3 linked regions of the Caenorhabditis elegans genome follow. The protein of the gene in region 3 purifies or fractionates together with the protein of the main gene of each other region. This does not show direct contact. Each region holds a gene or a part of one and is shown on either strand. Other genes may lie near its edges.

Evidence for each region. Proteins that work in one complex are often made in the same cells at the same time.
Region 1: the proteins of tofu-5 (region 3) and T22E5.6 purify together in Caenorhabditis elegans (affinity purification with mass spectrometry, with the first as the bait; one study listed by BioGRID). This does not show direct contact.
Region 2: the proteins of tofu-5 (region 3) and snpc-1.1 purify together in Caenorhabditis elegans (affinity purification with mass spectrometry, with the first as the bait; one study listed by BioGRID). This does not show direct contact.

What each region holds. Positions count from the first base shown.
Region 1 is NC_003284.9:6,411,865-6,420,209, reverse strand, and holds T22E5.6 (uncharacterized protein), read left to right. Parts: upstream 1-3,802; 5' UTR 3,803-3,809; coding exon 3,810-3,968; intron 3,969-4,049; coding exon 4,050-4,185; intron 4,186-4,787; coding exon 4,788-4,937; intron 4,938-4,985; coding exon 4,986-5,071; intron 5,072-5,829; coding exon 5,830-6,048; 3' UTR 6,049-6,472; downstream 6,473-8,345. Other genes in the region: K10C2.12 (Ubiquitin-like domain-containing protein), read left to right, coding at 1-101; nssp-78 (Accessory protein 7b), read right to left, coding at 6,771-6,928, 7,181-7,229.
Region 2 is NC_003280.10:7,777,424-7,784,975, forward strand, and holds snpc-1.1 (snRNA-activating protein complex subunit 1), read right to left. Parts: upstream 3,879-7,552; 5' UTR 3,787-3,878; coding exon 3,689-3,786; intron 3,641-3,688; coding exon 3,556-3,640; intron 3,506-3,555; coding exon 3,428-3,505; intron 3,383-3,427; coding exon 3,314-3,382; intron 3,269-3,313; coding exon 3,059-3,268; intron 3,015-3,058; coding exon 2,696-3,014; intron 2,635-2,695; coding exon 2,553-2,634; intron 2,507-2,552; coding exon 2,222-2,506; intron 2,169-2,221; coding exon 1,973-2,168; 3' UTR 1,874-1,972; downstream 1-1,873. Other genes in the region: mthf-1 (putative methylenetetrahydrofolate reductase (NADPH)), read right to left, coding at 244-326; Spindly-like protein spdl-1, read left to right, coding at 4,164-4,199, 4,248-4,490, 4,537-4,860, 4,909-5,541, 5,587-5,790; skr-17 (Skp1-related protein), read left to right, coding at 6,455-6,492, 6,542-7,046.
Region 3 is NC_003279.8:7,064,392-7,071,165, reverse strand, and holds tofu-5 (Twenty One u-rna (21U-RNA) biogenesis Fouled Up), read right to left. Parts: upstream 1,727-6,774; 5' UTR 1,725-1,726; coding exon 1,623-1,724; intron 1,575-1,622; coding exon 1,420-1,574; intron 1,371-1,419; coding exon 1,145-1,370; intron 1,098-1,144; coding exon 920-1,097; intron 855-919; coding exon 580-854; 3' UTR 501-579; downstream 1-500. Other genes in the region: W01A8.6 (Peptidase M14 domain-containing protein), read left to right, coding at 5-179, 232-410; nuo-6 (NADH dehydrogenase [ubiquinone] 1 beta subcomplex subunit 4), read left to right, coding at 1,991-2,090, 2,165-2,234, 2,582-2,930; cutl-6 (ZP domain-containing protein), read right to left, coding at 3,267-3,482, 3,553-3,642, 3,693-4,080, 4,468-4,613, 4,663-4,850, 5,807-5,903.

The DNA.
Region 1 (8,345 bases), on a different chromosome or scaffold from region 3:
TAGAGGACTCCAAGCCACTCCGTGAATACGGAATTCGTGATGGATATACTATTTACTCTACTCCAACTTATGTCGAGATTCAAGACATGCCAAATCTTTGATTTGTTTTTTTTCTTAATAAAGTTAAATTGATTTATTTATGATTTGAATCTATCTGTAAGAGCAAGTTAACTAGTAAAAGGTGATATTTGAATTCTGTTATGAGATGTTCTGAACATTGATCAAAAAACTATATCGTTTGAAACATTTGAAAAAATAGCCTTTTTTCAGCTAAAATCTTATATTTTGCCAGAAATATAAGATTTTAGCTATATATATATATTTTTTTTTTGTCTGGTGTTTTTTTTTGAGTATGACCCATTAATGCATATTTTTGTAACTTATTACGTGTTCTTTTCTTAATTAAGATGTATTTTCAGTAGACAAGTATGCAAATGTGATACTATTTTGTGGACCAATATACTGAAAATGTAACTAAATTAACGAAAAATGGGTAATAGATAACAAAAATATATATTAAAGGGCGGTAGTCAGTTTAAAATCAAGTTCCGTGTTTTACAACACTGACGGCATTTTTTCCAAAACTTTAAACATCCATACTTTTTTTAACAGAAGGTCTAAGAAAGTTGGTAGTTTGGGATTATTTTGGTTCTGAAAAACAACGCCTCAGGTTTGGGTGAAAAAAAGAAACGTATATACATACAATTATGAAAAAAGTTTTTTGTTACAAGTCAAAATTGAAACATGAAATCTTGGATTTCTATCTCTTATTCATGCGTGTCTTGAATTGATTACCCCTCTTCGCCTCAACTTTGTTGGCTCCTTGCTTTTGACCATTGAGCATTGTGTCAATTTTGGCAACTCTCGGACCTCTGCAGCCAGAAAAATACATTTTCTCGCCCTCCCCTCTTTCCGTTGTCTTCTCTTCAATTCGACGATGACAAAGAAAGAAATCTTTTCATTAGGTTTGGCTTTGCGAGAAGTGTTGGAATGAAGATGAGTTGAGCAGGAGACACTTCTCGTTTTCTTATTCATTAACGCTTTCATATGCCATGAAATCGATTCTGATGCTTTTTTTCGTGTAACATCTCATTATGAGCGGAAATGTTTGTTGAAGGTGCACAACTTGTTGATATCACGTTTCAAAAATTGTTTGCTTTTTGGTTTTCTGAAAAACAATTGTAGAATACCCCCAATTCTTACTTTTTTCTTTAACACTAAACACGCAAAGTTGTTAACACTATACTAATTAATGAATTCATGCCCAACCAATGACTTACGCACATTATTTTGATATTCACCGTTTGAAAGTTGAGTTTAAATTACAGTTTTATTAAGTTGGCAAGAAAGTCCTGTCCTATTTTTCAATCATTTATTTCTCGAAGCAAACTAAAACAAGAAATCAGTTATATGTTCCATCATGATCAACAACGTCCTGCCAACGTTGAGGTAACTTGTGGATCCCCTGCCTGTAGAATCCAGCGGGCAGGGACTCGAAGTATTGCTTGATATCAGATTTGAAATTTTCTCTTGTTTTGAAAGCTATACCTTGAAGGGCAAGAGTCAGATCGGAGAAAAGCCAATAATCACTTAGAGCAATGTCAGGAAAATTCGGTGGTAGAGGGAGAATCACCCATCCATATTTTGTCAGATCCTGCACCACTTGTTTTAAAACATGTGGTTGAGAGTTTTTTTTTTTTTTAATTTTTTTTCAATCGTTAAGGTCTCAACAAAACACTATTCAGTCAACGTTTTGGTAAATGTCCGAAATTTGGAAAAATTGTTAGAATTTCCCCTTCTGGCGTCAGACCATTTTTGATATTTGCAAGTTAATTTTTCGTTCAATTACTTTAAAAGGAATAGTGTGCCATCTAAATTGCAAATGACTCTCCAGACTTTTTCACGTGTTTCCAACAAAAATATTGAAAAGACAACAAAAAAAATTAAAAATGTTGGGTACTTTTAATTGAAATTTAAAACTGCTGTGAAATATTTTAAAGACATTTATATTAAATTGTTTTTGGGCTCAAAATATTTTTAAGGAAAAAAAAATTAAAACAAATGTCTTTGAAAATATTTTCTTAACTAATTTTCATTAACAAAACTTTTTATTCAGACATATTCAGACGCGATGCTGTTGTGAAATTTTTGATGATTCTTTCGAAAAAAAAATCAAACGAATTATATTTGAGTTAAATTCTATCAGCAAATGTTCCAACGGGCAGTTCCATCACTCAGCTATATCTGTCAACGCGTTTTCTCTTTCTCCTTTTCTTCAAAATGTCAATACTCAAGTGGCGTCCAGCACTCTTTTTGCTATACTACATATGCTTTGCTACTATAGCAACCAATTGCTTTTTGACTTCTTGAGAGGGAAACGGAGAAGAGGATTACCTCTCTTCATCAGTTTGTTTTTTTTTCCTTTTTCTTGAGTAGCTGATTCATCAAAAAATTTTCGGTGGTTGAAACAGAAAAGCACTTTCAAACCAAACAATGAAAACCGGCAGAAGAGTTGCCTTGATATTTGTTTTAATGAAAAAGCACTGTTTTTATATTACTTTTTACAACTGGACAGAGCCTGAGACAAAGATGAGCAAATTGCGAGGAAAAGATTTTGAAATAAGATTGTGAGCAAGAAGTTACACAAACTGCTTGGTCTTTCACTCAAGTCTTTGTTTCACCTGCTTTCTCATTTTGTTAAATTTCACCTGAAGTGTTCCGTTGTATTTTGATCTGCAAAAGAACTGTTTTGTTCTGAAAGAAACTGTTATAAGAAAAACACCTGTTGTGTTTTGAGATTTCATTAATTCGCAAAAATCAAAAATTTTCATTGATTTTTGGATGGTTCTTAATTAAAATTTTTTATTCAATTTGCGATTTGGAATCTAAATTTTTTAAATGCATAGTTTTCCTGGTATATTTTGTAAATTTTTTTAGTTTTGCGAGAATTTGAATCCACAAATTTTGAATCAACAAAGTTGATAATTTTCCGAGTTGTTTTGTTGATATTACTGTTAAAATTTCAAAATTTCAAGAAAAAATTTATAACAATTTTTGGCAAATATTTTTGAAACAACTTTTTATTAATTTATTTATTTTTCCAAAAATTCGATTTTCCCGTTTTACACAGAACATTTTCGAAACTGTTGTACACAAAACAATATACCATCTTAAATTAACTGGACGTCTCATTATTTCAACATATTGACTTCTGGCGTCCTTGCAACCCGAATCAATGCGTCTCCCGCGCATCTATTGTTGATTCATTGAAGTTATGCAGAAACTGGTGGATGAGATAGCGCTATTCAGATGTAGATCGCAGACGCTTCTTACTGTCTCTCCTCTATCTCGGGTTCTCGTTTTCCCACATTTCCACGACGGCAATACGATCTAACAAGAAGAGGAAATGGGAGAGAAATGACAGGTAGAGACTGCTGTATAGCTATCCTTGTTTCTAAATATCTTAGGAATTGGTAGTCAGACAACATTTTTTGTTGTACATAAGGTATTTGAAAATGAAAACAGTTTTATTGAATAAAAAATTCGAGCAAGTGCAAAAAAAAACCAATTCAAAACTCATTCATACATTTCTAAACAAGTCGAAAAGCAAGTAGATATCCCATCTTCAAACTTGAATTATTTTCACTTTTCCCTCTATTCTCAAGTCAAAATGCAAATGTTTCCCAAGAGATTTCTCTGTTGGCCTCAATCCTCATGTTTTCTGTGCTATTTTATATATAATTTGAAATTTTTTTTTTTTGAAAGCGCAAACTTTACTTATTAAAATTTCTGTATTTCAGCTTTTCACAATGCCGGGAAGTATATCAAGTACTCCGGAGAGTCCAGATATAATGCGTTTTGTAGTATCAGTTGGTTGTCTCGTTTTTTCACTTATGCTCACGTCATTTGGAATTGTTAATAATGCTTGGATTGTTTTGGACAGACCAAACGAAAACGATGAGTTTCAGGTAAGTAATTTTGTTAAATTTCAATTGAGAAGAATAGGGTGTTTAAGTTGTTATACTTGAATAATTAAAAATATATTTCAGAGAGGAATTCGAGGACACGATTGTTACCGTAACAATGCACCAGGAAACGAGAACATCTTCTGCCTTCCATGGGATTTTGAAGATAAAGCGGAAAAGTTTCCAGATCCGTTTACCAAAGTGTTGGCCGCTTCAACTGGTACGTTGTTTGAATTTTGCCAAAACTCCCGATTGCCGAAAATATGAAAAATTTCCAAATTTCTCTATACGAAAAAGTTCACGTTTCAAGCTCAATGTGTCTCAAATCTCAGTTTTCTGAATCTGTTTTCTGGAACACGACTGAGATGACAAATTGTGCCAACATTTACTTTTTTGTTTTCAAAATGTAGTCACGGATGAAAATTGGCAATTTTGGCATCATCAAAAACTGTCAAAACAACCGAAAATTAACATTTTCAACAATTGCTCAAATTTGAGTCGGCGAAAGTTTTTAGAAACCAGAAATTGTGGAAATCTGTTTTTTTGATTGATTTAAAATAATTTATCATAATAATTAAACATTAAGTTAAGTTAAATAAATAAATCAATCAATAATTAGGCATGTAGGTCGTCCCAATTGTTTTTTGGCCTGCATTGCAGATCTCGATAAGAATTATCTGAAAATAAGGAAACGATAAACAAACGTTTTAAGTTTTTTAACTTTAGTTGAAAGTGTTTCGATGTGGCTGTAATAAAAAATAAAGGTATTATTTAAAAATATATTATAAGTTTATTTTTCTCCACTAAATATTTATTTTTCAGTTGTTCGAGTGACATTCCACATTGCTCTGGTCATATTGGCGTTTCAAATTTTCTACCTCGCATATACCATTGGACACTGTTGTAGCCAGTCATTTACAGAATTGACAAAAAAGCGAAAACTCGCATTTTTCCATGCAATGCTCGTTCCAGGTGCGGTTCCAAAACGTGACTACAAACTATTAATGCTTATTTTTGCAGTTGGCCTTTGGATTATTCTCCTACTACTTGTACTTTACGAAACTTACACTGATAATCTTCTCCCATTGTCTCTGAGAAAAGAAGATGTAAGATTTTTACGATGATTCAAAGAAAGTATAAAGTTACTTCATATATTCCAATCGAAGCAGAAGGGTTTCTAGCCTTTAATTCAATAAGCTGTTTGTTCAGCGAAGCGTACTATGAAAATTATTTTTAAGTGTTTTGGTATTGCAACGAGTGTTCTTTGCAAATTTAATAGTCTTTTTTCGAAAGGGTGTATTAGAATCATAAGCTGAAGTTATCTGACGCAAATATGATAAAAATAAATCGTTATGATTTTTACGATTACTTTTTTTAAAAACTTCATACTGAGGAAAATAAAGTTATAATATATTTTGAAGTACTTTATTAAATTACCAAAATCTCTTGTTTTCATCAATAATTTTTCACCCACAAAAAATGTCTACGAAAAAATGAACATTGAAAAAAACCAAAACGTGATGTAAGGTCTGAAAGGTTACCAGCCCACCAATAATTGGAGAATTCTAGGTCATTATAAGCAAATATATAAGTTGTATTTAGCTGAATTCTTCCACTACTCAATAACCTACATACATTTTTAAGACAGAACGCATAAATTATTTTGATACTTCAAATTTATCAAAACGTTATTGATATCAGAAAATTATAGAAATTTCCTAGCTTTTTACTAAAAAAAAAAGTGTAGACGAAATTTGAAAGTTTGAGTTTAAAGAAACATATTTTGGTAAAACGAAGCAAAAAACATATTTTAACTGTTTCCTAGCTAATTAATTCTTGTTATTCAAAACGATTTTATTTTCAGTACAAATACAAAATCGGATCCGGCTTTTGGTTTTTCTTCCTCGGTGGCCTACTTCCATTTATTGGAGCACTCTACTTCTTGTTTAGAGAGCAGATGGATGCATCGAAAACTCGTCTTAGAGGACTTATCAATCGACATCAGCCAATACCATCAAATGTGAACGAGAGTGACCGTGACGGGGTAGAACTGGTCAGGACAAATCATGGAGGAAGGGTGTAGCTTGAGTCTTGCTCAGCAAAATATTGTCAATGTTTCTGAAGCTTTATGTATTTTTACCGATGATTTTATCTAACAAGGAAAGGTTTTTATTTTCCCGTCCCGACAGACATCAAAACGAGAGATGTGCATTCTGCACTCTGAACTCCAACCGTTTTGATCTGAAATTTTTTTCTCTACTTTCCAGCCAGTTTTGGCAGACTTTCGACATTTAAGGATGTTTATGGGTAAATTATCATTTCGGAAATTTTAGTTTTTGAGTGGTACTGAGCCGTTTTCGATTTGATGTCTGAGGGTTGAAAACCTTTCCTTGTAGTTCTACATTACACTAACAATGCTCAAATTTTGTTCAGTCCCGCCGAATTCCAGATCTCAATTTGTTTCTAAATGTATTTTCAGAAAAAATAAAAACATTTTCAAATGATGACGCAATACATATTTATATCTAGAACGGGATCTTCGAGGACTGGAAAATACGTCGTTTTTAGTGTCTCAATCACGCTGCCAGTGATTCCCAAGTGGCCCTCGCAAGCTCGTTTACATACTGATGGGAGCTAAGAAAAGATGCGGAAGAAACACAAAGAAATTCAGAGTATTGTTCTACCATCAATCATGTTTGAGGCATGAAGCGCTACTTTTCGGTGGAAGTTTATCGGTATTTGTTAAAAGAGTGGATAAAAACACGTCACTTTAATTCACTTCATTTTTAAATAAACACAAAAAAATCAAAATAGAGCGGTGAACCGCGAACAAGGACATAATTGATGGCGGCAGACGAATGCGCGACAGCAGAAGCACACCTTGCGATCCTCCTCCAAGTCTATAGTCTCCTCAGGATCAACTTCTGCTCGGTCAATCATTGCGATAAATTTACTGCATACTCCTGAAAGTTAAACAATATTTATAAATGCTGAAATTAATGTGTTAAATATATGTTGTTGGTACTTTAAACTACTTTTACTTCCTACATATTTCAATTTCAACATCACTCTTTTCACTTGTCAAGTCAAAGTAACTAACTAACTCCCACACACACACATACTTTAAATTGAAATATTGCAAGTACAACATGCAGCATGAGAAAAAAGTATCGTAAAACAAAGTATGAAACATTTTCAAACTATGAAAAACGTACCTGCAAAAAGGCAAGCAATCAGAAGAAGTGTGATGAATTTAGGTGACATAGTAAATCTTGTCAAGTAAATACCAAACAAATTGGGTGCAAAAAGAACTTAATAGAAGTCAAGAGGGACAAGTCAAAGTGACGAAAAAGGCGTGTGGCTCCCACTCGAGTTCACAGCTACCCACAGATACCAATTTTAGAACTAGGCCCCGCCTCTCTCCTAAGAAATGGGGTTGAGTTGAAATGCATGGCGTCACTTTTGGGTCTAAATGTGGTGCAGTAAAGTATTAAATGTAGTGTTTATGAAAATAACAATTTTACATAGAAAAGCTGAAGTAACCTGGAAACTTTGAGCAAAATAAAAAATATTTACACCCTTTAAAATGACTCGACTAAAGTTTAAGATTATATCTTCGTAAACTTGGGAATCTATAAAAAGAAAAACTAAATAAAACGATTATTGATAACCTGAGTAATATTTAAAACTGGTTAAAAAACGTCGAAAGTCACTGAAACCCTCTGAATAAATCAGATTTTTTAATTGATTTTGATTCCAACCAGTTGCCAAAAATACTTCCAGAAACATCTCTGAAACGTGTTTTATAGAATAATAGGAAAACGCGCTAAAACACGGTAGCTGCTTGTGATATACACTCATATTTTCAAGACTTAATTTTAGCCATAATTTTTTGAAACACCAATTCTCATTCCTAAAGTCTAGCGAATGACAGCTTTTTAGCAACAAATAATCTAAAAAATTGCTAATCAATAGATCTAATATCTTAAAAAATAGTTCAAAATGATTTTCACAGAGTGAAACTTAGATTTTTAACTACAGAATTACAAATAATTCTAAAAGTTTTCGGTGGCATTAAGCGTAGAATAGCGCGATTGTGGAAAATTGATAAAAATCTATAGTGCCAAAATGGCCAAATAAAAATTGTTTCAAATTTCATGGTCTACCTATGTTTTAAATAATAATATTCAAACATTTTATTCGCTCGAACATGCGACTGTGCTATTTTTTCTCAAAAAGTGATAAAAACTTAGTAATTTTCACTTTTTGTGTGTCAATTTTTTGAATATGTGCAAAGAGTTTTTGAAACTTTTTACTATGATATTTGATAGTTTTGGTACTATAAGAGTGGTAGTTCAGAAAAATTACCCCACTGCCCCT
Region 2 (7,552 bases), on a different chromosome or scaffold from region 3:
CACTCTCAACAATATAAAAATGCCCAAATCACGTGAATATCAATGGTATCCAACAGTTGACACTGATAAGAGATCAGTTTGTGATCGCAGTGGGACAAATGGGTGGTAGACATGTCTTCTGATAAGATAGAGGTCAAGTAGGTAGAATTGGTAGAAAGGAGGCATATTTCAGTGCTTTTTTTAAAAGCATTTTGAGACATAAAAAGATGCTCTAAGTTTAGAAGATTAATATAAAGAACCTACCAATATGGCATTGTGGACAGAGAATCGATCTTCTTAATGGTTCCATGAGATTCAATAACTTTAGTTTCTCCAGTATTCGTCATTTTCCTTGGTTCGTTTTAACCGTAGTTATTCTCTGTCGGGAACCACGAATCCGTTGTTTGATGAGATTCACCGACTGAAATTTGCTCGTATTAAGTCCGATTCTTTTATACAATCAGAGAAAAGGGCGGAGCGTTAAGGTGGCAAACGGTTGGTAAATTGGAAAAAAGAGAAGTCATAGAACTATCAATGTCCGCTAAATGTTCTTAATCTAAGCAAAAATGACAAGAAAATGAGAAACAAACGTGCTTCTGGCATAAAACCACTTGTTTTGTTCAATATTTATATAGAAGGAACATAGCATGCTGGGTCTCTCGTTCTCTCACTAAAGCGTTCGTCGTGGCACTCAGTGCACTTTTGCATACATGAAGCAATACACATTCTCAGCGGGGCGCCGATTCCTTCATAGAAATCGGATTCTTACAAAAGACAAAAAAGATAAATCGAAACATTTTTTGAAAATAGCGGTATTTGAAGCAGAAAAAGTGAGTGGGGAAGTCTTTTAATTTGATAACAAATGAGTATTAACAATATTTTGGTGCATGATGACCTGTGAACGATTTGGTTGGGTTGTTATCGGGGCAACAACAATAATGTTTTGCCAAAAATTTGCCAAATAGTTCAACGTGGAACTTCTCTTTGTTTGTCTTATGCAGTGATGTTTATATGGAGATGCCAGTGCCATGTTGTACGGTACCTGACACGATTAAAAATATGTCAACAAAAACAAGTGTACGCCTTTAAAGAGTACAGTAGTTTCAGCAGTTTGCTGATTTCTTAGTTTTTTATCGTTTCCTGTTTTTTAAGCTTCAATTTTTAATAAACAGTGAGTGTGAAAACTAAGAAAAATTGAACAACGGTACTCCTTAAAACCGCACTCCTCTCCTTTCACTGAAAATTATTGGCCGTTTCGAGACCGGGTACCGTAATTTTTAAACAGCGAAATTTAGCATTTAGGTATTTGCTCTATTATTCAACTTTGAAAATTCTGTTGTTTTCTCAAAACAAAATTTTTTTTTTGTAGTTTTTATAACATATTAAATATTTTCTGATATCTGCAGTCATATAAGTTATTTGGTGCAAGAGTAACTGAGAAAATACGGATGCGTTCTAGAAAAAAAGGATAAGTAAGAAAGTCGTAGATAGTTACTATTTGATAGTATCTCAAGAAAGAATGGGAAACTAAGCAAGACCTTGAACTAATCGTCATTTGAAGAGAACTTTAGCATAGTACGTTTTCAAACGAAAACCACAATTTCTCAATACTGCCTTCCCATCACAAACGAAAATTTTATCCTATAGGATTAAAACCAATTTTCAGTAGAACTACAACAAGATTCTGAAAAGTGCACTCAATGCTTTCACGAATGGGCTACAGCACAAGATGATAACTGTATGAAATAATCATGTAATGCACGATATCAGGCCATTTCAATTGGTCTTTTGCGGCGATTTATCACTGGTGATAATTGGAAGTTGGACAGATAAAAGTATAAGATTGAAAAGATTGAACCAACAGAGATTAATAAAATAACAAAAGTCGGAGATGATAGGCAACTCAGCAGCAAATTTAATTTAATTTTCAAAAAAAAAATTCATGTAGTATAATTTTCATTAAAAAAAATGGTTAGCAAGGAAAATGAAATGATTATGTTTCTTCGTCTTCAATAACTTCCAGCTTAATTTGACTTGTCAACTTTTTCAAATGTTTATCCGTAGCCTCGACTTGTCCATGCCATGCGTGCAGTTTGTTGGCCCATTCATCACTGATTCGAGGTTTCACTTCAACTACGCTGGCCGATTTTCTGTTCTTCTTGTTCGCAGGCGATGTGAATGATTCGTCACTGAATAATTTAATAATTTTTAATTGAAGAAAAAAACAAAAATCTTCACTTACATTTGGGAAGCAGTTATCGGAGCAGAAGTTTGTGGGATTTGTTCTCGTTTCACTTCAACCAATTTCGCATTTGCACGTTTTGGTGCCCGAATTCTTGCAACTCCCGATGTTCCCTGCTTGCCTACTTTACCGCCCAATGAATCTTCAGGTATTTCAGGCTTTATTCTGGCAGCATACTCATTTCGTAGAACTTCTTCAGCCAATGCATTATCGTCTAATAACTCTTCAGGATTAACTGTTGTCGTTTTTCTGCGTCGCCGTTGTCTTACAGGGCGATCAATCGGGCTGTAAAAATAGGTTATTATTTTGGGGTTAAACTGTAATTGCTTACATTGGAACCTGAGCATCATTATCATCCAAACATTCCTGGGCGATGTCACCAAACGTTCTTGCGGTAAGATGTTTGAAGTTTTCTGCAAAAGTTGAACGCTGACTTTTGAAAAAAAAAAACATATTTTCGTGTAATAAATGTACCTTCCATGTTTGGATCAAGATGCCTTCTTTGTCTAGTGTGTTTTAGTCCTTCAGCATATGCTTTACTTCTCAAAGTTGATCTGCTTGAACCAGCTGTTTCCTCTGGAGCGCTACTAATTTCTGGATTTGTTGGAGAACTTTCGAACTGTTCTTTATATTTTTCGACAATGCCCTTGATTTCGTGTAATGGTGATTTGAGCCCCGTTAGAGTATCACTTAGTCCAAGTTTTTGCTTAGCCTCTGTGTAAACTCCGTGAATAAATGATAATTCCGTCATAATATCAGAACTGAGCATTTTCGTAACACTGGAAAACGGCTCCTGAAACTGTTTATGAAAAAATTCCAATAATTTAACTTACTTACAACTGGAATTTTGTTAAAATAGGGCAACTCTTCCTCGGCAAGGTATTTTTTGTGGGTTGCCGGATCATATGTCGACTGAAACACTTTAATTCTAAACGCTTTCTTCAGAATAAGCATTTTGAGAGCCGCAATTGGTTCAAGAAGTTTTTCGACTTCTAAAGATTTTTGAAATTCGAGAAGCTCTTCGAATTGTACCGCAGTGACCGGAATCTGAATTAAATTTTTTAAAACTAAATTAAACTTAGAATTAATCACCTGACAGACATGATCAACTGGCTGCAAATTGTACAACGCATAGCAAACATAAACTCCGAATAGCCTCTCCTGAAAATATAACATTTCAGACTTATTTTTACTTCTATTTCAAACCTTGAATGCCCTGAATGCTCCAACTTCATTCACTTTTCCGAAATACATTGCTGCGTGTTGTAACAGGTATTCAGTAAACTGAAAGCCGGAATATTATAATAGACTAAATAAAATCAAAATAAAGCTACCTCTAAGCATTCGGCAGGATTTAATCGATAATGAAGAATGGTCTCAAAATGCATATCCCGAAAAACATCAGCAAAGTCTCGAATTCTTAATTAATCAAGATTTTCCATCAAATAATACATTTTCTAACTATACCTGTTGGATCCCATAGATATAAACTTGTTGCACAATAAATGAAGATCTTGTTTAACTCCAGTTCCCATAAATGGCGTGGGAATACCTCCAGAAGCCATTGCGACTCGTTTTTTCCTTGAATCTTCAGAAATAAATCCGAAAATAATTGACGAAAATAAAAACATGCAAGTGCGCTCTATCGTGAACAACCAATTCTCGGCGGGAACCAGCGGTATTCAACGCATTTCAAAATGAGTTGCGCCTCAATTTACCTAAAAATATTGTTTTTCAATCGTTTTGATATAATTTAGCTCAAAATATTCCCATAAAATTAGTTTAAATATATTCGCAATCAATTTTACGCTTTATTAAAACATCAAAAGCTATAGATCTGCGTGAAACGTTCTTATAAATCGTGTTGCCGTGAAAAATATTCTACTGATCGTTTTCTATCGAAACATTTTCATGTTTTCAGAAGAATCGAACTTCAATCAGTATGCCTGACGACGAGGAGAAGCTCCAATTACTTGCTGTAACGTTTTATCATTTCATCTATTACCAACTAAACCTAATATTTCAGGACGTTGAGAGGCTCAAGAAAATTCTCCGTCAAAAAGATGAAATGCTCGAGGAGATGGAAGACGATCTCAAAAATCAGGGAAAACCTTGTTCTTCCAAACTTTCACTCGAAGAACGTGCACAAGAATTGAGTGAACAACTTCGCGATCTTCATGTTGAGATGGACGGAAAAAACGCCACAATTCTTGATCGGGACGCTCTCATCGATTCACTGCGTAGTGAGATCGACAAACTCGAAAAAATTGTAGGTTTTCATCATTGTGGGCAACATTAATATATTGAATTCTCAGAATAAGGAGTTTGCCAACGGATCAGTGATTCCCGAACATGATGATTCCAATTCCTTCGGAGAATCTGAAATGCTTCGTATTAGCGAAGATTGTCAGAAATACAAAGAGACGGCGACTGCTCTTTACGAACGAAACGCCGAACTCGAAAAAGAAGCGGTCAACTTGAAAGATGAAATTGAGTCGATGATGGATCATATTCGGGACCTCAAAAATCATATGGAGACGCGTGATGAGGAAATTGCCAGATTGGAAGGAGAGCTTTTTGATGAGAGAAACTCCCATGAAGGAAAATTAGCGGCACGCGGAAATTCAATGTTTTCTGAGGTAGGTTAAAAAATATCAATTAACTGCATTTTTTTTAATATTCTTCAGGTTATTGATGCCGAGCGGAAGGTTGAAGAAGACCTGAAAGTTCTTCATGGAGAGAATCGAGCACTGAAAGGGATGGTAAAACGTCTTCGAATGGAAGTAGAAGAAGTCGAAGAAAGACTTCGGTCATCCACAAAAAGATTCAACGTTACCCGAATGACCACAAGTGATATTGATGTCAAAGAGATGCGTCGTCTCAGAGACAGAGTTTGTCACCTGGAAACGGAAAGGGTTCATTTGTGGGAAAGAATGTTCATTAAAATGAGGTCAATTCCAAAACGCGAAGTGGGAGCGTTGATTACCGGCTACTTCAAGTCGTTCGAATTGTCAATTGCGAGCGTGAAAGGAGGTTTTGACGGTTTGATGAAGGACAACGAAAAGTACGTGACAATTATTCGTGGATTGCAACAGGAAGTAGAAAATCTCAAAGCGGACATTGTGCAACTACAATTCGACAATAAATGTGCTCACAGAAAAGCTGCACCAGTTGTCAATAAGGATTTCGAGCACCCGCTTCTTGCTGCTCCTCTGAAAACTCTTAACAATGGACGACCATCATTCTTCATTAAACCGAAAAACGTGGAACCCATGCCTCAATTAGGGCATTCATTATCCAGTATTGCCGTTACGCCACAGGTAGATAAAAGTGCAACTTTTCACTATAAATAATTATTTTTCCAGAAACCAGCAGCTAAATTCACCACTCGTTCCTCCATCAAAGATGATACTTCAGAATGGGCAGAACGTCGTATGAAAGCTCAAGCTGAAAAGAAATTGGCGACTCCGACGCCGCGTTACAACTATATCAAACTGTCCGAGCCCGTTCCAAAATTCAAACCGGCTGTTCTTCAAATGCCATCAACCTCAGAAACAAAGGAAAACTGAGTAAACATCATGTTCGTAGTCATCTCGTATTCATATAAAACCGCCTGTATTGATCTCGTCCCCTCTATTCACCAAGTTTTGTCGATTATTCTACAATGTTTCCTATTTAATGCATGTCAAATAAAATTATTTTTATTATAACGCTCATTCTTAGATTGTTGATGTTCAAGAACTTGATAGAGCCGCTGGCGGGAGTGCAGTGGAGCGCGAAACCCTATCGATATTACACGATCACTTATTGATTTATATATTTTTAATATTTATTATTGTAAATATGGGGTAGAATATAGAAAAATATTTTCCAGATTTTCTCTTCCCTACAATCTTCGGAGATCTCGTATGGATATGCTTTCGATATAGGTTCAGTTCTTACTACTAGTAACATTTGAGAGAGCTTAAAATTTAAAAATTGTAAACCGTTCGAATTTGTTCTGGTGTGGGGTTCGCATGATATTGATCGTTTTTAATATTTACGATGATTTTTTGTGTTGTGCGAGGGTGTTTTAAAATTTGAATTTGCCGCCGAATGAAGTAGAACAAGAACGCAAATGCGCTCTGTGGCGAATGGTGTTCGACAAAAAGTTTTTAAGATCATTTTCTCAGCAAAATTTCGTTTCCTTTCTAATTTTTCCATTTCAGACATCACATTTCGTCCGGAAAGCAGATGCCGAAGAAGAACAATACAAAACGAGCACCACCAAGGTATTTTTATAACATTTTGATAAAAATAATTATCTAATATTTCGTTTAGTGTACCAAAGCCGTCCGGTCCGCCACCTCGATTACTTCAACTGACATCCTCAGATGGACATTTGTTGCAGGGAGACATCCGGGCCCTCCTCCTCTCAAGTACACTTGCTGCAACCATCAGAGAGCTAGGATATGACAAGGAATACTGTGCTGAATTAAAACCGGTACCTGTGAACAATGTTGTTGGATTTACATTAAAATTACTGATTGAATGGTGCGATAAACACAAAGAAGATGATCCTGCAATTGCACTGGCCGAGAAGGACAAGAAAAATATTTGCATTCCTTCCTGGGATAGACATTTTCTCAGTAGACTGCCAATGTCAAATTTGTTCGATCTGATTACTGCTGCATATCATTTGGACGTTACCGGACTTATCAATTACGGCTGCAAAACAGTTGCCAATTCTGCGAAAGGAAAAAATGCCGAGGAAATGCGAGAACTTTTCGGAATACCTGAACCATGGGAACAACCATCTACATCGACTGCTACATGGGATGATTAATTTTCTGTTACTATCTTCGATCTTCAAATATTTCAATTGCACAAAACCGGTATTATGGAAACAATCATTTCAGCCATGTCAAATTGCAATCGAGTTATTCTTTGAATACTATTTTTGTTTGTTATTTATTATATCTTTAAAATTGCATAGGATCGCTCAATGAAAATTACTTTATAAAAAATCACATTTGTATGTAGTTGAAATCATGGAAAAACAAGAAAATGAGTACTAGATGTTGCCATCAATAGAGGTTTTCCTAGGCGTCGGAAGTTTTCATCGCAATCATATGGATCTGAAAATTTTTTCCGGAAGTCATAATTTCTTGATGGATGCTTGAGTGACCGCCTCCAGTATTATATATATACCAGCCGTGGACCGCACCTCCGGCGCGGCCCCCGACTTCTGGAGCTGAAAACCAATTTTTCTGAAACTACCGTAATCATACAGTACTCCTACCGTACCACCATTGTACCACTACAGTACCCCGACTATATCCCTACACTACC
Region 3 (6,774 bases):
TCAGGAAATTCTGGCAAACAGAGCAGCTGATCGCGTTTTCGCTTATCGGGAGACAAAATATCGAGTTGGAACTGCAGCAGATATGCTTGGAACAGCAACTGGAGGAGCAACTGATTGGATTAAAAAGAATACTCCGACAAAATATGTCTATGTACTGGAATTGCCACCTGATATGAAAAGTAAGAATTCGTTTAGATCTTCCATGAAAACTAGAATAACATTCAATTTCAGCTTGGTTCGCATTCCAAGTCAAACCACATTGGCTTATTCCAATTGGAAAAGAGACATGGCTTGGAATTGAAGTAATATTCGATCAGGTAGTTGAGGAAACCAAGAACTTTCAACCGACTGAACCAACTACAAACGGAACATCAGCAGACAGTAGATCTCCTCGATTCAGACAGCTATAACAAACAAATCAACACGTGTCTTTGGACGACGACGAACTTGTCAAGAAGCGGGTTTCTACCATTTTTGTCTTTGTTAGACTTGAAATCAATAAACTTAATAACAATGTATTAAATACCAGTGAAACGACCGGATGATATGACAGGATATAACAAAAAATTAATAAAAATTTCAATTGGACGATGTAGATGGCTGGTTGTCCTTCGTAAAGTTGATTAATTCGACTTCAGATGCAACTTCAGGGATCGCATGAAAACGGGTACGGAGTGGATCCACGAACAGTTGAACTGCCGCCATAACGTTCGGAGGATAGTCTTGCTCACAGAAGCGGTAATTGCCTTGTTGACATTCACTGAAAATACCGGCAAGAATAGATTTCTCAGTATCTGGAGTTGTCGTAGCTTCGGTTTCGATAGTGTCTAGTACTTTGGAGACAACTGCCGCTTCTGAAAATAAAACTGTAGCGCTGGTTAAGTTCCCTCAGAGTTAGAATTATTCTGGGTTTACTGACCAAGTTCATTGAGCGCTGGCATTTGCTCTTCCAATGTGGCACATGCTTTCATGAATCTGTAAATGACTGGCCATCTTATATTTTGAGAGTCAGTTCTTGTAGCTTTTGCGGTGAGAAGTTTGGTCACCACCGCATTTTCGTGAGTTTTAGATTCTAGAGCGAGATTCTCGAAGAGTGTCTGAAAATTTGAGCATTTTTCAATTGCTGACTAATAAAATATAAAACCTCATAAGTATCTCTAAGAGAAGGTAGGGTCTTGTTGATTGATCCATGATGATGATCGACTATTTTTCCCATGATACTGCTCCAGTCGTCATTTGGATCCACTTGGCAAAATGGTGGAGGAGTGATATTATGATGTCCTGCTTCGATCCATTTATTTTTGTAACACTCAGGGAGAATAATCTCTTTGTGTTCCTTGATAATCTCTCGAATCTCGTCAATTTTCGCCCTGAAAAAGAATAATGATTAAATGTTGAACATATATTTTAAAAACTTACTTTATCTCTTCGATAGATCGTTTTTTTACAATGTTTCGGTGAATATAGTTTATGGCTTCAATTTTGGTACCATACTTCATCACTCCATCCAATAAACTTCTCAAGTCGTCACTGGACCAATTGCCACCATTGAAGCTGCGACCTTCTGCGAGAATCTACAAAATTTTACATTTTTAAATAGTTTATTTTATTAGAAAACTGACTCTGTCCAGTGGTGATGGTTCTTCGGTTACAGTATGGTTTGCGACTTCAAAAGCCATAGAGCTACCGGGAATTTCATTTGTGGGATCGCCGTCGGTTTCCATGGCTAAAATTTGAGTTTTAAGTTAAGTTTAATGTGCGAAAAAAAATAATTATGGCCTCGATTTAGGAAAGAATTGAAGAAAATTGAATTGAGGAAAATTCCTTTCGCTTTGAAATGTGATGTAGATTTACGATAAACAAGGCGCTGTTGCGAAATATCGGAGTGTCGTTTGAACCAGTTGTTCAGAACTTTTTATTTTATTTTTCTTAATTTCCGTCTTGTTTTCCGATTTTGTTTATTAATATTTTAATTCCAGGTTGAACCAAAATGAAGTTGGCATTAAGACTTCTTCGACCAGCTGCCAACCAAAATATTAAATCTCCGAAACTGTGGCAGGATCCAGTGCTTGGATATTTTGAGACTCACGGTAAAACTTTTATTTTATCGATTTATTTTTCATAATTTACTGTTAACTTGTAAAATAATAATTGTTCTGTATAGGAAAGACCGAATTTCTGCCAGGACATGAATACAATCTGAGCGACGAGGAGAAGAAAGCAGTTTTGTGGAGGTAATACGAAAAACGCTTTTTGCTTAAAAGTTTTTAAAAAAATTCTAAAAACAGTGAGAAACATAGTTTTAATTATATTCTCAATTTAAAATTATTTAATTCTATTGAAAAATCAATATATGATAACATTTGCGTTGATGAACACTTATTTCAAGTGATTTATTAGCAATAGAGACAAAAAAAAACAGTTTCTTGATATAATTTACAGAGTATCAAATCAAAAATTGCTTTAAAAAAACTGTTGCGATAAAATTGGATATTAAACACTGAATTAACATAAATTCAGTTTTTAATATCCAACTTTATGATAAAAAAACTACATTTTATTTTTAAAAAATTACTTTCAGATATCGTGTCAAGGAGATTTTGAAGAAGGAATATCTCCGTCGTGAATACGATCCTCATAGCTTCAAGTACAAGGAGGGAGTCACCATGGATCCAGCAATGTTCCGTTGGTATTCTGCTGATATGACTCAAGCCGAGTTCTTCCGTTTCACACCACGCACCGTATTCCTGTACGTCGGAACCGTTTTCGCTCTCTTCTACATTTACACTCGTCTTATGTTTGTCCCAATGGACAAGTCGAATGAAGCATGTTTGGATGGAAAGCTTCTTTGGTGGGATCGTCAACAAGGAAGAACTCTACAAACCGGAGGATCCGGTCTCTTTGCTCCAACCATCGGAATCGACTTCTAATCGTCTCGATCTATCTGTTTTCTTAAATTTACTTTTAGATCCGAATGTAAGCAACTTTTTCTCGATTTTTGTTTTTTTTTAGCTGTGTCGTTATCCTCGTCAAATAAAATTCAGATTTTATTAATGTAAACACTCGTAAATTTATATAAAATAACATTGATGCCTGATGAATTAGATTCCGTAAAAATATGTGTGGAACAGACATCACAGAGAAAAAGAATGAGAAATTTGTGCCTGACTTTCGAGAGAGTTCAAGGGAATTTTTAAGAGAAAAATGGGAGCTGAAACCGTACAATCGGGACGTGTAATTTATAAAATAATATAATAATGTGAAAATCAATAATATCTGCCTGACTGCATTATATCGAGCTCTTTTTTGTGATTTTGTCTTCGAATCACTAGTGCTGTGGAGACAACTGTTAATGATACAATTGTGATAAGAATAAGGGGAAGAACTGGAAGAAGTAGTCGTGGAACACAGAATGGAGAAGGAGCAAGGAGCCCACGATCTGCTGGATCAAGTACAAGAAGTTCTGATGTTGCTACGTCGATCTAAATATTTTATTGTTTTCATGTTAGGAGGATTAAAAAAATATATAATCCGGAAACAATCTATGATTACCTCATAATCAGACCGATCAGCTTCTCTTTTTGTTCGATTTCCATCACCACTTGCTTCACTCAGCAATTTCTTGACTCCACAGTTTGGTGGCTGAAAATCAAAAATAAGTATTTGCTTCAACAATCTTCGAACTCTATTACCGTAACTTCCTGGCACATTCCCATTTGTTTCTGACACAATCTTATCTGACAAGTGAAATATAATTGATTTGAGTCTGCATATTTGAAAACTTGACTTGATGCATGAGCTCGCATAAGTGAAGCATCGTAAGACAGCTCACTGAGCAAGAATGGATCAGTTGCACAGCCATCAAAGTCAACAACAGCATGATCTTCTCCGTCTCCATCTGTTACAAAACACTTTTTGACAAGCATTCCCATATCAGCCGGTGTACATTCCCATACATGAAATACAATATCTCCGACATTGGCATATGTTAAAGTTGGACCATTTGGACCATCACGACGAACTGAATACTCGCATTTTGGCATTACCATACTGTCAGATAGTTCAGTCGTTGGGATCATACTGAAAATTAATTTTTTTGATTATTTTTTTAATTATTTGTGTTTGAAAATTCAAATATCATCAATGCTCCGAAATACGCAAAAAGTTCAATTTGGCAATTTGCAAGAACATAGACTTGAAAAAAAAATTTAAGAGTTTCCGATAATCTTATCTGGTGAGTTCAAAGATTTTTCACCCTCAAATACTAAACACTGAAAAGTATAGAATCTCAATGTAAAATTATTGAAATAAAATGTTAAAACTTCAGTATCTTTTTCTTAATACATATTACTGATTTAAAATTAAACTTGCAGTTCCTATCAGTGTTGCACTCAAAATGAAAAACTGAAAAATAATTATTGAACGCAATAGTTGAAATGAGGCATATTAAAATAAACGATTACCTACCTAACATCAATATTCTGAGTAACAATCTCATCTGGTTCCATATAGAAACATTTAACATGGAATGCCCTATCATTTTTTGTGATGAATCCAGCTGGATGGAATGATACAATGACTGTGACCATAAAATTGACGCCTCGAGGATTTGCCTGAATAAAAAAAAACATCTCACAAAATTGTCGTTTTCGGTCCATTTACCGATCGTAACCGTTGCATTCCACATTTTCCAAGCGGCAATGAGTATGAGTTTGTTCCATTGTTCGCATAACTTTGTCGACATGACTTGTCTTTCGCTCGTCCCTTTACAAAAATATTTCCACGAAATGGTTTGGAGGTGACAATGTCGAGTGCCAGATCATTTTCCGCGCATATTACCTTGGGTGTACCTGTAGAAATAAATGAGAGGGGAGCTCTGTTTAATACGCTTTACACGACCACTTCCGCACCTCATTATTCTCATTTTTGTTGTTCTTGAAGGTCGTTTTTTTGCGGTTAGATTTAGTGGATTTATCTTGTAATTGCTTTGAGACTTGCAAACTTGTAGACATGGATTATCGCACGCTTTATAATTTTTTTTGTATTCAGAACATTGAACTCTTTCTCTCTATATAATTATCGCTACTTAGGCCGAAGTGTAGGGAATGGGGTCAGTAGTCGCAACTATTTGATCTGCCTGTGGATTTTTTGCTTAAAAAGGATATATTACTGTAGCATACACGTTTTGAAGATGCAGAAAATGATTAATGTTTTCTTAACAACAAAACCGGTGTAAGATCGGTCTAGGCAAGTTACAACTTTTGTTTTCTAAAATGTGTAAGACCAAAAAAAATTTTTAACGAATTTCATACGGCTTTTTGAGAATTTGTCTGCATATGTCAGATTAGTTTTGCTGTAAATTGAATTTTTTGAAATATACGGTACCCGGTCTTGAACCGATCGGAACTTTGAATCTATCCGCAGCAATTTTCCACAATGTTTACTCATTATTTCCAAATATTTTACGTATTTTTTCCAAAAGTTTAAAGTTTGCAACATGAATTGGGAAACTGCGGGTACTGTAGCTTCGACGTTTCGGTCGTGCCGAGACCATTTTTTTTGTGAACGGCTAATAAAATTTACTCTGGTCATAGTGTCTTTTAAGTGATAATTTTGCAAGCTTCGAGTCAAAAACCGTGATCAGAGATCAATATCACATATTATATATTCTAGAATTCAAAACAAAATTCATCTGGTGAACTGCAGTTTTCTGCCTCTGGATAATAGTAGATTAATCACAAGTTAGAATAAACTGTTCAATTTTAAAAAACTTTAAAAATTTCAGTAAAATGAAAATTGAACTTACCTATTATAGAGTTATCAATATAGTTGACCACTTTCGTTTGTCCTATCACTTTCTCTAGCATTGAGCATACCAAAAGAAATCCTAACCTCAGAAGCATTGTGTCTGTCTGTAATAATAAAAAAATCTTGAGGAAGTACAAGAATAAGTAGTTGTAACGACACACGTTCAAAACTAAATTAAATGCTCTTCTTCTACTTCATCTGGGGAACCAAACAAATGTGGGAGGAGCATAGGTGGTAACTAGTACGACCAGAATACGGGCGGGACGCATGATGACGTTCCCGGGCGGGACAAGAAGACATGATCGCTTCTCAATTAAGCTCGTGTTTTTAAGATGGACGGAACGAAGAGAAATCCTTGCGGCGGGCGGTACTTCTTCCGAAAACTACGAGAAGAACTACATATTATTCGGGAAAAAGAGTTTCTGTGTAAAGGTCAAACTGTGGAGATGAAGAGAAAGAGAGGAGCGATGGGAAAAAAATACGATGGACAGAAGGGTTCACGGTGAAAATGGATAATTACATGGACAGCCGAGACTCGAGAATAGGTCAATTGAGATGGAAATGTATGACGCCTGCTGCTGCCATACAAAAGGTGAATTGGTTAAGCTCGTAAGAAATGACAGAGTATTTTGATTTGAGAAATAATATGTAGACAACACCTGCATTCAGAAGCCCAGGACACTTAATTTGAAAGTGAAGTATTTTGATTCTTAACTGGATATTATGAACCACTTTGAACATCATCTCATATACCCTGTGAAAAAATGAAATAAGGAGAAAAAGTCTATCAAAATACAATAGGGAATTTTTTAACCAGAAAATCAGAGATTTGATCATATAATTCGAGAATAAAAGCAGACCAGCACGTCATTTTAATGTTTCAGAGTTTTTGAGCAAATATTATAAAAGTTCACTACAACCCTAAAATGTATACAATGTTTTTTAGAAGTAACAGCTTGCGTAATT